Canis lupus familiaris: one gene and its partners. The protein of the gene in region 1 binds, or shares a complex with, the protein of each later gene. Links are inferred from orthologs where the notes say so. Each region holds a gene or a part of one and is shown in the gene's direction. Other genes may lie near its edges.

Region 1 (3,416 bases):
ACTTCCTATGGCTGTGGGTGTGAAGCCGCTGTGTCCTCGCTGGCTGCGTGCTGGGGCCCCCTGTTCCTGAGCCCCTTCCATCTCGGGGCTTGCACTGTCTCTGCGCTACCCTGTTCTGCTTCTGCTATGCCGGCAATTATCTCACCCAGATAATCCAGGATCATCCCCTTATTTTAAAGTCAGTGGATCTGTAACCTTCGGGGTCACCTGCCCAACCCTATGTGTCTGTAATGTTGCTGAGCATTGGCATCTCATCACATCACCATCCCAGGGATGAGGGCAGGAACTTCTCAGGGTTGAGTGTAGGGTTTTGTCTGCCATAGTGTGCACTCCGGGTCCACAGATGCACATCCTTCCCCTAAGCAAAATCAGTAAGACTGAGGCCTCTTGGGCTCCTGGACACCCATCCTGCGTGACCTCGGCTCCCCAGCACCCAGTAGGGCAGCACCCAGTAGGGCAGCAGAGGAAGCAGCTCTGATTTCTCAGGGGCCCTGGGACAGTTCAGCCGGGGCTTCCCAGCCTCTTCTAGGAAAGGCATGTGCCATGGGGCGGCTTCCCACCCTGCTTCAGCCGTAGCCCCTGGGGTTTGTTGCCTGCACTGTCCGTCCCTGCAGCCCAAGTCCCTGCCCCGGGCATCTGCAAAGACGGTGGGGCACACTGTTCTTCATTGGGACTGAGCATTCCGGCCACAGAGCTTCCTGGGGCTTCCGCAGAAGGTCATTCCTGGATCTGGTATCTGCTGAGGGGCATTCGTGGGTCTTACACCCGTGTTCCTTGCTTTGCTGTCCGCAGTGGGGAGAAACCAGGCAGCCCCTGCAGGACTTGGCTTGATAGTTCCTTCGTTGACCATCCAAGTGCATCCTTGTGACTTCTGCTTCTCCAGAACCACAGGACAGGGTCACTGATGTCCAGCCACCAAGTATCGAGGCCCTTCCTCTATCCCAGCCTTGTGTTCCTTGCTGCCCTAGGCACCCGCGCTCTTCAGATCGTGTTTCTACTGACAGCTCTTCATGGCAGCCTAGGCCTTTTCTCGTGCTGCTCAAAACTCTCCCCAGGCCATCAGGTGCGACTTATGAGGCTGTCTTGGGTCCAGCCTCCTGCTGCCTGTGGCAGCCGAACCAGAGCACTGCCTCAGAAGAGAATACGGACCCTCCTTCTGCTCTTCCTGTGACCCAGAATTCTAAGATGAGGCACATCAGTACTGCTGTTGATTTTTTCACCAAATGCATATATTGAGTCTTGCCAGGTTTTGTGGTCTCCACCAGGACATCAAGTCAGATACAGCAGGGTTCCTGCCATCACTGAGCTTCATGGGTTGGCCACAGCTGAGTAGACTAGCAAAAGGACACAGAAGGGCCAGAGGATAGGTATTTATAGAGACACAAGTACTAAGTAAGTTTAGAAAGAGCACATGCATTCCTAGGGGCTAGTGTGGGCATGAACAGTCAGGTGTTTGGTGTCCCGTAGGGACACAGAATGGCTGGCACACTGGTGGTAAGAAGGAGCAGATCCCTGGGCCCGAGTGCGGGTGCGCAGTGTTACCCTGCAAGTGAGTGTTCGCAGTAGAGAAGCATCAAATTTGCCTTTTTGGATGCTCGCTCTGGTTGAAAGGTGTCCAAAGCAGAGACTGCAGGACAGAGCGCTTCATTCTTGTTCAAGTGAAAAGTTAAATTAGTGAAAACAAATTAATGTTCAGCAGACCTGGGGAAAACAGTGCACCAAGGACAGAAAAGATTACTCTCTTTGTCAAGTGCACATACAAGATCATTTTTTAAAGTATCCTTTTAAAAAACAAATTCGTAAAATATCGTCTACTTCCCTGATTGTAGGAATGCAAAATATACTAATTTCACAATAAGGGCTTTTTAAAAATTCTGAGGCCACTGGGGCCTTTAGTAAAGTATACGCCCAGAGCTCCCAAGAGTGCCATGAAAATCTCATGTGTTGGGATCCCTGGGTGGCGCAGCGGTTTGGCGCCTGCCTTTGGCCCAGGGCGCGATCCTGGAGACCCGGGATCGAATCCCACGTCGGGCTCCCGGTGCATGGAGCCTGCTTCTGCCTCTGCCTGTGTCTCTGCCTCTCTCTCTCTCTCTCTCTCTGTGTGACTATCATAAATAAATAAAAATTTAAAAAAATATATCATGTGTTTCTGAAGTAAATCCCCACTCCGCCACCCCTCTGCCCCAGAAAATGCTATTACTGTCCAAGTGACTAGAACTGTGCCCTCTGACCTTTCAGCTCCCCAGAGGACATGGGTCCTGAGGGAGTCGCAGAGTATACAGAAGGAGCTTGCACCAAGCATGGCTGTGTTAAGATAGTGTTTACATTATTTCCATCTTCTAAATCATGGTGGATCCTCTTGACTGTGTTCTTGTCTTCACTGATGTTTAACAAGAGCCTGAGATGGTAGGAAATGGCATTTTTTTTTTTATGGAACTGTTTTTAGAAGGATTTTTGTGAGCACTGACCCCTCCCCCCCATGTCCTCTTTGCAGGAACAAGCACATCATGATTGACCTGGGTACTGGTAACAACAACAAGATCAACTGGGCCATGGAAGACAAACAGGAAATGATAGACATCATCGAGACTGTGTACCGGGGCGCCCGGAAGGGCCGCGGCCTGGTTGTGTCTCCAAAGGACTACTCCACGAAATACAGATACTGAGCTCAGCCCAGTCTCCGTGCACAGAAGTGGTGCAGAATTGTTTTCACATGGAAATATTTGAAACTATTTAAAGCCTTAGAGAAAGCGTTTGGAAGTGAATTCAAAGCTCAAGGACTTGGAGGGTCTTTGTAGTAAGGGTTGCATGGCATCAACTCTTTGCCTGTCTGGCCATTGTATTTTTATATTAGCAAATATTTGTAAATACCTAGCTGACACGAATAAAGTACACAGTGATGGAAAGTCATAATTGCTTATTTCTTATGAACCTTGCCGTACAGATAACTGGTTTGGGCAGTTGGAGACTAATCGTCATCTTTAGCACTGGAGTAGAATTCACCATGTTTTACCCATGTGGCAGTAGGAATCCATGTGAGTTCTCCAGGGCTGCCAGAACAAAGTGGCACAGACTGGGTGACAATGGAAATGAGTTGCCTTGCCAATCTGAAGGCCAGAGCCTCGGGTCCGGGTGTGGTCAGGTCAGGGCTGGTTCCTTGGGGCTGTGATGGATCTGTTCCCTGCCCCTCTCCTAGATTCTGCTAATTTCTGCCGATCTTTGGCATCCTGTGGCTTGAATCTTTGCCCCTTCACAACCTTCACATGGCCTTCTCGCTGCATGTGTGTCTGTGTCCAAATTTCCTCTTCTAAGGACGCTGGTCACTGGAGAAGACCACCCCACAGGAGCATGACCTTATCTTAACTGATTACATTTGTGATGACCCATCTCCAAATAAGGGCATGTTGTAAAAAAAG
Region 2 (4,171 bases), on another chromosome or scaffold:
TGGGTGGTGCAGGGAGAGGGACAGAGAGCCGTGTTTGCAGTTCACCCCAAACCACAGATCCTGGAGTCAGGCCTGGCACATAGTAGGCTAGCCGCACCGTAATGAGCGAGTTATGGCAGCTCCACGCAGTGTTCATCGCAGTATCCCATGTGGGCATGGCAGGACCCCCACACTACCCAGGGAAGGCCACGACTCACGACAGGGGCATTGCGGAAGCCCTTGATGGCCTGGAAGACTCCACCGCCGATGACACCCATAGTGAAGGCTCCACCGCAATCGTCCACAATTCGCCATGGGCTGCAAGCCAAAAGGGGAGGGTGGGTTAAGTGAGCCCCTCTTCCCCCGCCATGGTGCACGGATTCTTTCCAATTGGGAGAGACCAAGTCACCCGAATGGGAAGCAGCACTTCAAATAATGAGATTATTTCTCCCCTCGTCTGAGCAAGAAATGGTGCAAAAGGGGAAAAGCATTAGTCTTTGCTCGCCCGCCCCTCCTTCGAGGCCAAGCAAGGAATTCGCCAACTGCTTTACCACTATCAAAGACTAAATGAACTGATGAGACACGCAGAGTCAGCACCTTTAAGTCAGCGCTGTGAAAGTGTTAATTTGCTAGTACTGTTATTAAAGCAGGACGGGGTCGCACCTCCGTCCCCGACGATGAGCACGTCCAACCAAATCCCGTCTTCCCTCTCTTTTAACCGATCACAACTGGGAAAAACCAAGCGCAGGCCGTGGGGAGGATCCAGTCCGTCCGCCACAGGTTCACCCAGCCCCGCCCCCATCCACTAAAGCGACCTGGGAAAAGCCACGCGTGGTAACCCTGGGGATTTCCGCTCGACCCCGCACCACCCCCCAAGCTGGAATGGATTCGACCAGCGTGTCTCTTTTCCTCAACAAAGAGGGACGGGGGAGGGGATACGGAGTCTGAGGAAACGTTGAGTGGTTGGTCCCTGCACCGCACCTTCTCCGGGCTCACAGCTGCGGCCTCTCTTAACGGAGCCCGAGTGAGAGGAACGAAGCGGAGGGGAGCGGAAGGAGACCACAAACGTCTAAGAGTCTCCCGAGTCTGGGACGTGGCGCGGTGTGGCCAGCGCCTCCCCCGCCCGCCTCCCACAGCTGGCGGTGGCGCCGCAGCAACAGTCCCGAGGCCTGTGCCCATCGCCGTACCAAGGCTCCCGAGCGTACTCCTCCATGGCGCCGGCGTCTGGCCGCGCAGTCCGGCTAAAGCCCGGCCAGGCCACGCCCCCACTGTAAACGCACACAGGCGCCGAGCTGTCCACCTATTCCAGGCCACCGATTGGGTCGTGTTGCTGCTCATCAGGGCAGGGACACGCTCTCATTGGCCACCGAGTTTGCGTCATCTCCACTGCAGCCTGTGCGTCGCCCAGATACCTCAAGCGTCGGGGAGAGAGGACCTCTTTTGGTGTTTTGGGAGAAGGCCGTCGTGTGGTTCTCGTGATCCTAGCGGGGACGAGAGAGAGGTGGCCGACCTGTCAGCTTTCCACTGCTCGCGTGATTGCATTGGTAATGTCAGGGTGGGCGCATTTTTTGCAGCCGGAAGAGGTGCTTCATTTTGCTCCCCCGTCCCAGCGCTTTGGTTCCTCCCACCCAGCAGTCTTTGGGGGACGTTGGGTGAGCTCATTCCGGGAGCGCGGGGGAACTGAGCTTGGCCCCTTCGGCGGTGGGCGGAGCCTGGGCCTGGGCGAGGAACAGGGTCTTGGAACACCCAGCCTCGAGGGGAGGGTTGGTGAGAGTTTGGGTGTCATCGCCACTTATATTCCATCTTTTAGCCTGTAGGTTCCGTCTACCCAGCCATTGGTGCAGGTGGGTAAGTGAGGGATATATGCCGGGAGGAGGCGCTCGGTTTTAGGTCGGGATTTGAATCCTCACTTGAGCTGGGTTGTTTTTTGTGAGCGTGTCTGTTCATCCGTCTGTCCCTAGGTCTGCCTGTTATCCGCTATGCCGCTGCCTGTTGCATTGCAGACCCGCTTGGCCAAGAGAGGCATCCTCAAACATCTGGAGCCCGGTGAGTGAGCTAAAAGCGGTTGGGCCTACAATGTGCCTGGCTTGACAGGCACTTCGTTGTTGATACCGCCACTCGATACCTAGCGTGGGCCTACCGCGCATCAGTCAGTGGCGTGGCGTGTATTGTTAACGGTGTGGATTTCTGATATCCATTCCTACCGCGGGCTGGGGTGGGGGTGGGGAATACATGTTTCATCCTTAATATTGACAGTTAATGCCTTTTTGGGGTCTGTTGTATGCCACGCGCAATCCATCAGACGATCCGTGGAAGTTATTATAAAGTAGCTGACAGTAAGGAGAGCTGACATTTTCCCTAGACGGTAGGGGGGATGCGGATACTGGGTTCTTTACGCTACTGATCACATTATTTTAGACGTGTTGTGAGGCCAGGCACTATGTTGGTGATCTATACCTTATTGATCACCATATCAATTGCTGACATGTATTTTGGGTCTAGGTGCTTGGCATACACATAGTGGTAGAAAATGATGGTAGGATCTATCATTTCTACCTGCTGTGCTGTTCCTGCTAATATTTACACCTTATTATCGATCATGGTAAAAACTGGCATCTGTTTTGGGCTGCAGTGTGCTAGGCACTGGATTACATCTTATTTTCACCTTATTAATAAATGACATCTGTTACAAGCTACTCTGTGCCAGGCATATAGATCTTGTGGTTAATAATACTGGTAACAGTCGTTGCTAATTTTAAGCCTGTTGAGTACCAGGCCCTGTGCTGATGGTATATATCTCTTACTAACAATTCTGATGATTATAGCTAATACTCACTTTGGGCCTATTGTGTGACAGGCACTATGCTGTTGCTGACATATACATTTCATTGTCAGTTATGTCCACAGCCAAAATCTGTCATAGGTCTACTGAGGGTCATGTACCGAGCTGACAACATACATCTCTTTTATTCTACTGATAGTAACTGACAGCTGTTGTAGGCCTGCTGTATGTCAGGCCTCGGAACTGAATGGATGCGGAGCAGTGTTTGGATATATCCTTTCCCATCCAGACTTGCTACTCAATATACAGAATCAGAAACCCCATATTTACCAAGCTTGGGAGCTGAATAGATTTGGGCATTTTGTTTTTCAGATAAACCGCTTACTGTTCAAACTCATTTTATCCAAATAGATTGGGATAGCGTGGTGTCACATGCTTCCTGAACTCAGGAACTGGAGGATACATTTGTTTTGATGAATCCTTGTCTAAAATCTGAAACCAGATAGGTTTCGGTAACAGGATATCAAATCTCAAATCTTATCTGAACCCAGAAACAGAACAGATTTAGGTAAGTTTTTTGGCAAATCCCCTGATCTTCAGACACTTGGATTTGGAATGTGATATTTGCCATAGAAGGTGAGACCTGGCACACGCACACACATGGTCCATGTGAGTCTGAGCGTGTCTCCAGGCTCTGACTGCAGGATAAGAATTCCTCTGGTCCTTACTGCTTTCCTCCACCCTGCTATCCTGCCAGAACCAGAGGAAGAGATTATTGCTGAGGACTACGATGATGACCCTGTGGACTATGAGGCCACCCGGTTGGAGGGCCTGCCACCAAGCTGGTACAAAGTGTTTGACCCATCCTGGTGAGCCTGGGGAACTGGGGCGGGGGGCGGAGAGTCTGACATCTGACTTGACCTTTCCTGTGCTGGCTCTGGGCCTGCCTGGCTTTAGGGTAAATGGGGAACACAGGAAAGAGGTCTGGGGGTCCTCCTTCTGGGCTTCTGACATGGGGCAGGCATAGATAGAGACTGGGGAGACAGGAGTGGAGGCTACAAGGAGAGGACGTCTGTGTTGATACCCCTCCCCTTCCTCCTTCCCTGTGTCCATACTTCTATCCCACTGCCCCACAGTGGGCTCCCTTACTACTGGAATGTGGACACCGACCTCGTATCCTGGCTCTCCCCGCATGACCCCAACTCCGTCGTTACCAAATCTGCCAAGAAACTCAGGAGCAATAATGCAGGTGAGTTGGCAGACCCAAGGGCAGATAAGGGTGCCCCAAGTGCTTCTGGAGTCCTCAGAGAGGGGTCAGGTACATGATAGTGGAGCAGGCATGGGGCTGGGGAGATGGGAAGGCCCCCCCCCCCAGGCAAGGGAGGTGGTCGACGGCAGAGGCTGCTGGGT
Region 3 (4,020 bases), on another chromosome or scaffold:
TATTGCTTATTTTGCCCCCAAAATAACAGAGTCCTATTCAGACAATCACTTGGTGACAGGAAGGTCAAAGGAGAAAAAGTAGGCAACTCAAGGGTGGGCTGTGATCCCTTTAAAGCAGAAGAGGGGCAACCCCCCACCCCATTACCAAATGCCACCCTTGCCCCAGGACCTTTGCAGCAAGCCGTGTTCCTGCCCCAGCTCTAGCACCTTTTCATTTTGATAAAGACCTTACTGTCTTTTTACCAACTTAGTACTTGAAATGATGATATAGCCTGCGTTGGGTGTCTCAAGTCTGTGATCTATTTTCCTAGTGGTTCAGTTTTAAAAAATAAATAAGGTTTAGTTTTTTCCTCCACTACGGCGTCTCTCGTATGCGAGCAGTGAATCTACAACTTTCTTAGGATGCTTCTCTTTGTAATGTGTAAAATAAGTGTCTGAAGACGTCGTGAAGAGTAAAAACTCGCTGTGATTCAGACGCGGGACTGGTTCATTGTAAATGGGGGAAAACAGGACAAGCTAAGGCCCTGGGACTCGGAGTCCATTAATGTAAAAATAACCGTGGGAAGGCTAAACCATCCATTTCGGGACCGTAGCTGCTTGTAAGCAGCGAGAGGTGGGAAGTTGGGCAAATGCCACCTGTAGGATTTTGAGTGCTAGAATGAGGCTCAGTCTTTTATTCGTATTTAAATAGAGCCATTCCTGGACATTAGGGAGGAACTGAATTTTGGAGAATCATCCTCTACTCAGAATCACCGAGGCCTAAGTCTTTTTTTTTTTTTTTTTTTTTTTTAAGATTTTATTTATTAACGAGAGACACAGGCAGAAGGGAGGAGCAGAGCGCCCGATGCGGGGGCACCGCAGGCTGATCGACCTTGGCAGGACCAGAGCCCAGCCCTCCCGAGCGCGTGCGCACTGGGCACGTGCGAGGACGCTAACCCGCGCAGGTCGCAAAGCGAGGGATCCGCCAGCTGCGCCGACGACTTAGAGACCCAGCCCTTACGTCAGTTTCACCAATCAGGAAACGGAATTGAGGAGGCGACCGGAAGTCCCACCCCATGTAGCCCCATGCAGGCCAATCGCTGGCAACGCAACCGGAAACTCGCGGGCGTTCGGCAAGTCCGGGGGCGCCCTCAAAGTATCGCGGGAGGGAATGTGACCTCTGCCGGCGTTTGATTGGCGGCGGGGGCCGGTGACGTCAGGCGCCAAGCGGCGGGAGCGTGAGGGAGCCGTGTGGAGGCCTCTGCGAGCTCGCCGAGTCGGCGCCATGAGCAAGGCTCACCCTCCCGAGCTGAAAAAGTGAGTACGCGGGAGGGCCGCGTGCGGGTGGCGGCGTCCGTGCGCCGGGGCCCCGCTCGGGGGGCGGCAGAGCGGCTCCGCGGGGCGCGAGGACGGGGCGGGGCGGCGGTTTCCTTGAGCTCTGTTCTCGGAATCTCCCTCCGGGGCGCCCGGGGGCCCAGCGGGGTTAGCGCCGCCCGCGGCCCAGGGCGTGACCCGGGGTCACGGGTTCGAGGCCCGCGTCGGGCTCCCTGCGTGGAGCCTGCTCCTCCCTCCGCCCGGGTCTCTGCGCCTCTCTCTCTCTCTCTGTGTCTCTCTGTCTCTCTCTCTCTCTCTGGGTCTCTCATGAATAGATGAAAATTTAAAAAAAATAAATTTTTTTTTGATCTTGTGCAGAAGTTAAGACTTGGATGTCACGTGATCTGTTAACAGCGCTGTGGGGGAACGTTCATTTTTTTCTTTTTTTTTAATCCAAGAAAAGTAAGTTTTTTTCTTTTTTCCTGCATCCAGTAAAAATCCCCTCAAAACCGGATGTTCCTACTTGCGTGGGCCCGGGCTCGGGGACGCTGGGCCGAGCGTGTGCAGGGCCTCCCGAGTGCCTCCGTCTCGTGTCCGCCGCGCAGTCCCAGGATTTCTGCACGTGGTAGCGCAGAACAGGAGAACGGGACCCGGGGGTCGCTTTGTGAAACAGCCGTCCGCCCTGTGCGTGGGTCACGTCCTGCCAGCCTCGTGGAGGAGTCAGACTGCAAGAAAAAGCCGTATTTAGTAATTGTGCTTTTTTTTTTTTTTTTTAAGATTTTTTTTATTATTTATTTGAGACACAGGCAGAGGGAGAAGCGGGCTCCATGCAGGGAGCCCGACGCAGGACTCGATCCCAGAACCTTGGGGTCACGACCTGAGCCAAAGGCAGCCGCACAACCGCTGAGCCCCACCCCCCCCCACCCCCGGGCTGCCCAGGAAATTGTGCATTTAGGGGCGCCTTGGTGGTCAGTCGGTTAAGGGTCCCACTCTTGGTTTCAGCCCAGATCCTGATCTGCTGGTGAGATCAGCCCCGGTGGGCTCTGGGCTCAGCGTGGAGTCGGCTTGGTGTGTCTCCTCCTTCTCTGCCCCCTCCCCACTGCTCGCCTGCTCGCTCGCACGCGCACTCTCTCTCTCTCTCTGGTTCTCGCTCTCAAGTAAATCTTTTAAAGAAAAAAAATAGTTTTACATTGAAATGCATATTTGTATCAAAGCCATTTTTTGTGCAAGAACTCCGTGTATTTTAGCTGGGTCTGTTGAAGTGTTCATCGTGAGCCCGACGTTAAGAAAAATACAACTTATTTTGGAGTTCTGTCTAAAACTCTCTTTCCTTGACGACTTGGCAAAACCTTAGAAGTATTCTCTGGGTTCTTCACGAACTGGTGAGATGCTAATTATTTTTAGCAAAAGAACCATCCTCTACTTGTAATCTTAGATTACCTTTTTCATTTCTTAACAGGTGCTTTTGTTTCTTAACAGATATTTGAGAATTTCACAGGATGAAACTGGTTTTAATAATTTCTCTCATCTCTCGATCTCATGTACTTTGAGACCATCCTCCAAAATGACCTTCAATTTTTTTTCTCTTTTATTTCTTCACAGATATTTTCTACTCTTTTATGCCCTCCTCCTGGTTTAGCTTAATTCAGTGGTTCTTAACTGTGGGGTAGGGAGCCTGTTTCTACTGGCAGGCCGCTAGTGAGTAGAAGCTAGAGATGCTGCTGAACATTGTACAACGCGCTGGACATCACTCAACAGAGTTACCTGGCCCCAGATGTTACTAGGCCGGGGTGGAGATACTGAGACCTAACCAAATTCTCCATCCCACTTCCTAAAAATCACTGCCATGGTGGTATTGCCAATGACTGGACTCTGCTTTAATAATTTATGACTATCTGAACAGTAAAGTGTAGACTTGTTGGCACGGCGTTCAGGCTCTTCCATCTGAAATGCAAGGTGCCAAATATGACACACACTAGTGTGGAGTATCCCATTCTACAGCCAAAATGAACCATTTGCATTTGCTCAAACTTTCTTACTATGTGACTTTAGAAAATCTTTCTGACCCTTGGTTCCTCATCTGTAAAATAGTGATAATAACAAGATCTCACTTAGGGCTAAATAAGTTCATATGTGTTCTATTTGCTGTCTTTTATATATATCCTATTAAATTATTTTATATATACTACAACGTATTTTGGGGTGTTTTTTTTTTAAGGTTTCATTTATTAGAGAGCATGTGAGGGGAGGAACAGAGGGAGAGGGACAAGCAGACTCTGCACTGAGCATGGAGCCCTACTTGAGGCTCCATCTCACAACCCAAGATCATGACCTAAGCCAAAACTCAGGTGCTCAAAGGAGGCGCCACCCAGGTGCCCCAGGCCTGTGTCTTAACTTACCTTTGAATTCTCTCATACATTAAAATTGCATGAAATTTCAGGGGTGCTTGAATGGCTCGGTTGGTTAGGTGTCCAACTCTTGGTGTCAGCTCAGATCATGATCTCATGGGTGGTGAGATGGAGCCCCCTGTGGGTCTCCACGCTCATCAAGGAGTCTGCTTGATAGTCTCTCTCTTTGCCCCTACCCCACTTTTGCAAGTGCTCTCTCAAATTTTTTTTAAAGATTTTTGTTTATTTATTTGAGAGAACATGAGCAGGGAGAGGGGTAGAGGGAGAAGCAGACTCCCTACTGAGCAGGGAGCCCTTTGTGAGACTCAATCCCAGGATC

What was found. Proteins that work in one complex are often made in the same cells at the same time.
Region 2: the proteins of TXNL4A (region 1) and PQBP1 are in contact, whole or in part, in a crystal structure (PDB 4BWQ), measured with the Homo sapiens proteins. The link is inferred for Canis lupus familiaris from reciprocal best matches to the Homo sapiens genes TXNL4A and PQBP1. Residues at the interface, in NP_006692.1 of Homo sapiens: Gly11, Trp12, Val14, Asp15, Ile18, Asp68, Phe69, Met72, Tyr73, Glu74, Met82, Phe84, Asn87, His89, Met91, Gly97, Asn98, Asn99, Asn100, Lys101, Leu129; in NP_001027553.1 of Homo sapiens: Gln241, Gln242, Arg243, Pro244, Tyr245, Pro246, Ser247, Pro248, Gly249, Val251, Leu252, Ala254, Asn255.
Region 3: TXNL4A (region 1) and SNRPG share a complex: the UniProt entries of both Homo sapiens proteins name them as parts of the U4/U6-U5 tri-snRNP complex. The link is inferred for Canis lupus familiaris from reciprocal best matches to the Homo sapiens genes TXNL4A and SNRPG.

Annotation. Positions count from the first base shown.
Region 1 is NC_049222.1:699,709-703,124, forward strand, and holds the end of TXNL4A (thioredoxin-like protein 4A), read left to right. Parts: intron 1-2,494; coding exon 2,495-2,666; 3' UTR 2,667-2,913; downstream 2,914-3,416. UniProt on the Homo sapiens protein: Plays a role in pre-mRNA splicing as component of the U5 snRNP and U4/U6-U5 tri-snRNP complexes that are involved in spliceosome assembly, and as component of the precatalytic spliceosome (spliceosome B complex).
Region 2 is NC_049260.1:42,260,227-42,264,397, forward strand, and holds the start of PQBP1 (polyglutamine-binding protein 1), read left to right. Parts: upstream 1-1,363; 5' UTR 1,364-1,523; intron 1,524-1,789; 5' UTR 1,790-1,823; exon of another isoform or gene 1,824-1,827; intron 1,828-1,940; 5' UTR 1,941-1,958; coding exon 1,959-2,025; intron 2,026-3,518; coding exon 3,519-3,630; intron 3,631-3,897; coding exon 3,898-4,010; intron 4,011-4,171. Other genes in the region: TIMM17B (mitochondrial import inner membrane translocase subunit Tim17-B), read right to left, coding at 198-297, 1,167-1,192. UniProt on the Homo sapiens protein: Intrinsically disordered protein that acts as a scaffold, and which is involved in different processes, such as pre-mRNA splicing, transcription regulation, innate immunity and neuron development.
Region 3 is NC_049231.1:70,135,037-70,139,056, reverse strand, and holds the start of SNRPG (small nuclear ribonucleoprotein G), read left to right. Parts: upstream 1-1,212; 5' UTR 1,213-1,264; coding exon 1,265-1,296; intron 1,297-4,020. UniProt on the Homo sapiens protein: Plays a role in pre-mRNA splicing as a core component of the spliceosomal U1, U2, U4 and U5 small nuclear ribonucleoproteins (snRNPs), the building blocks of the spliceosome.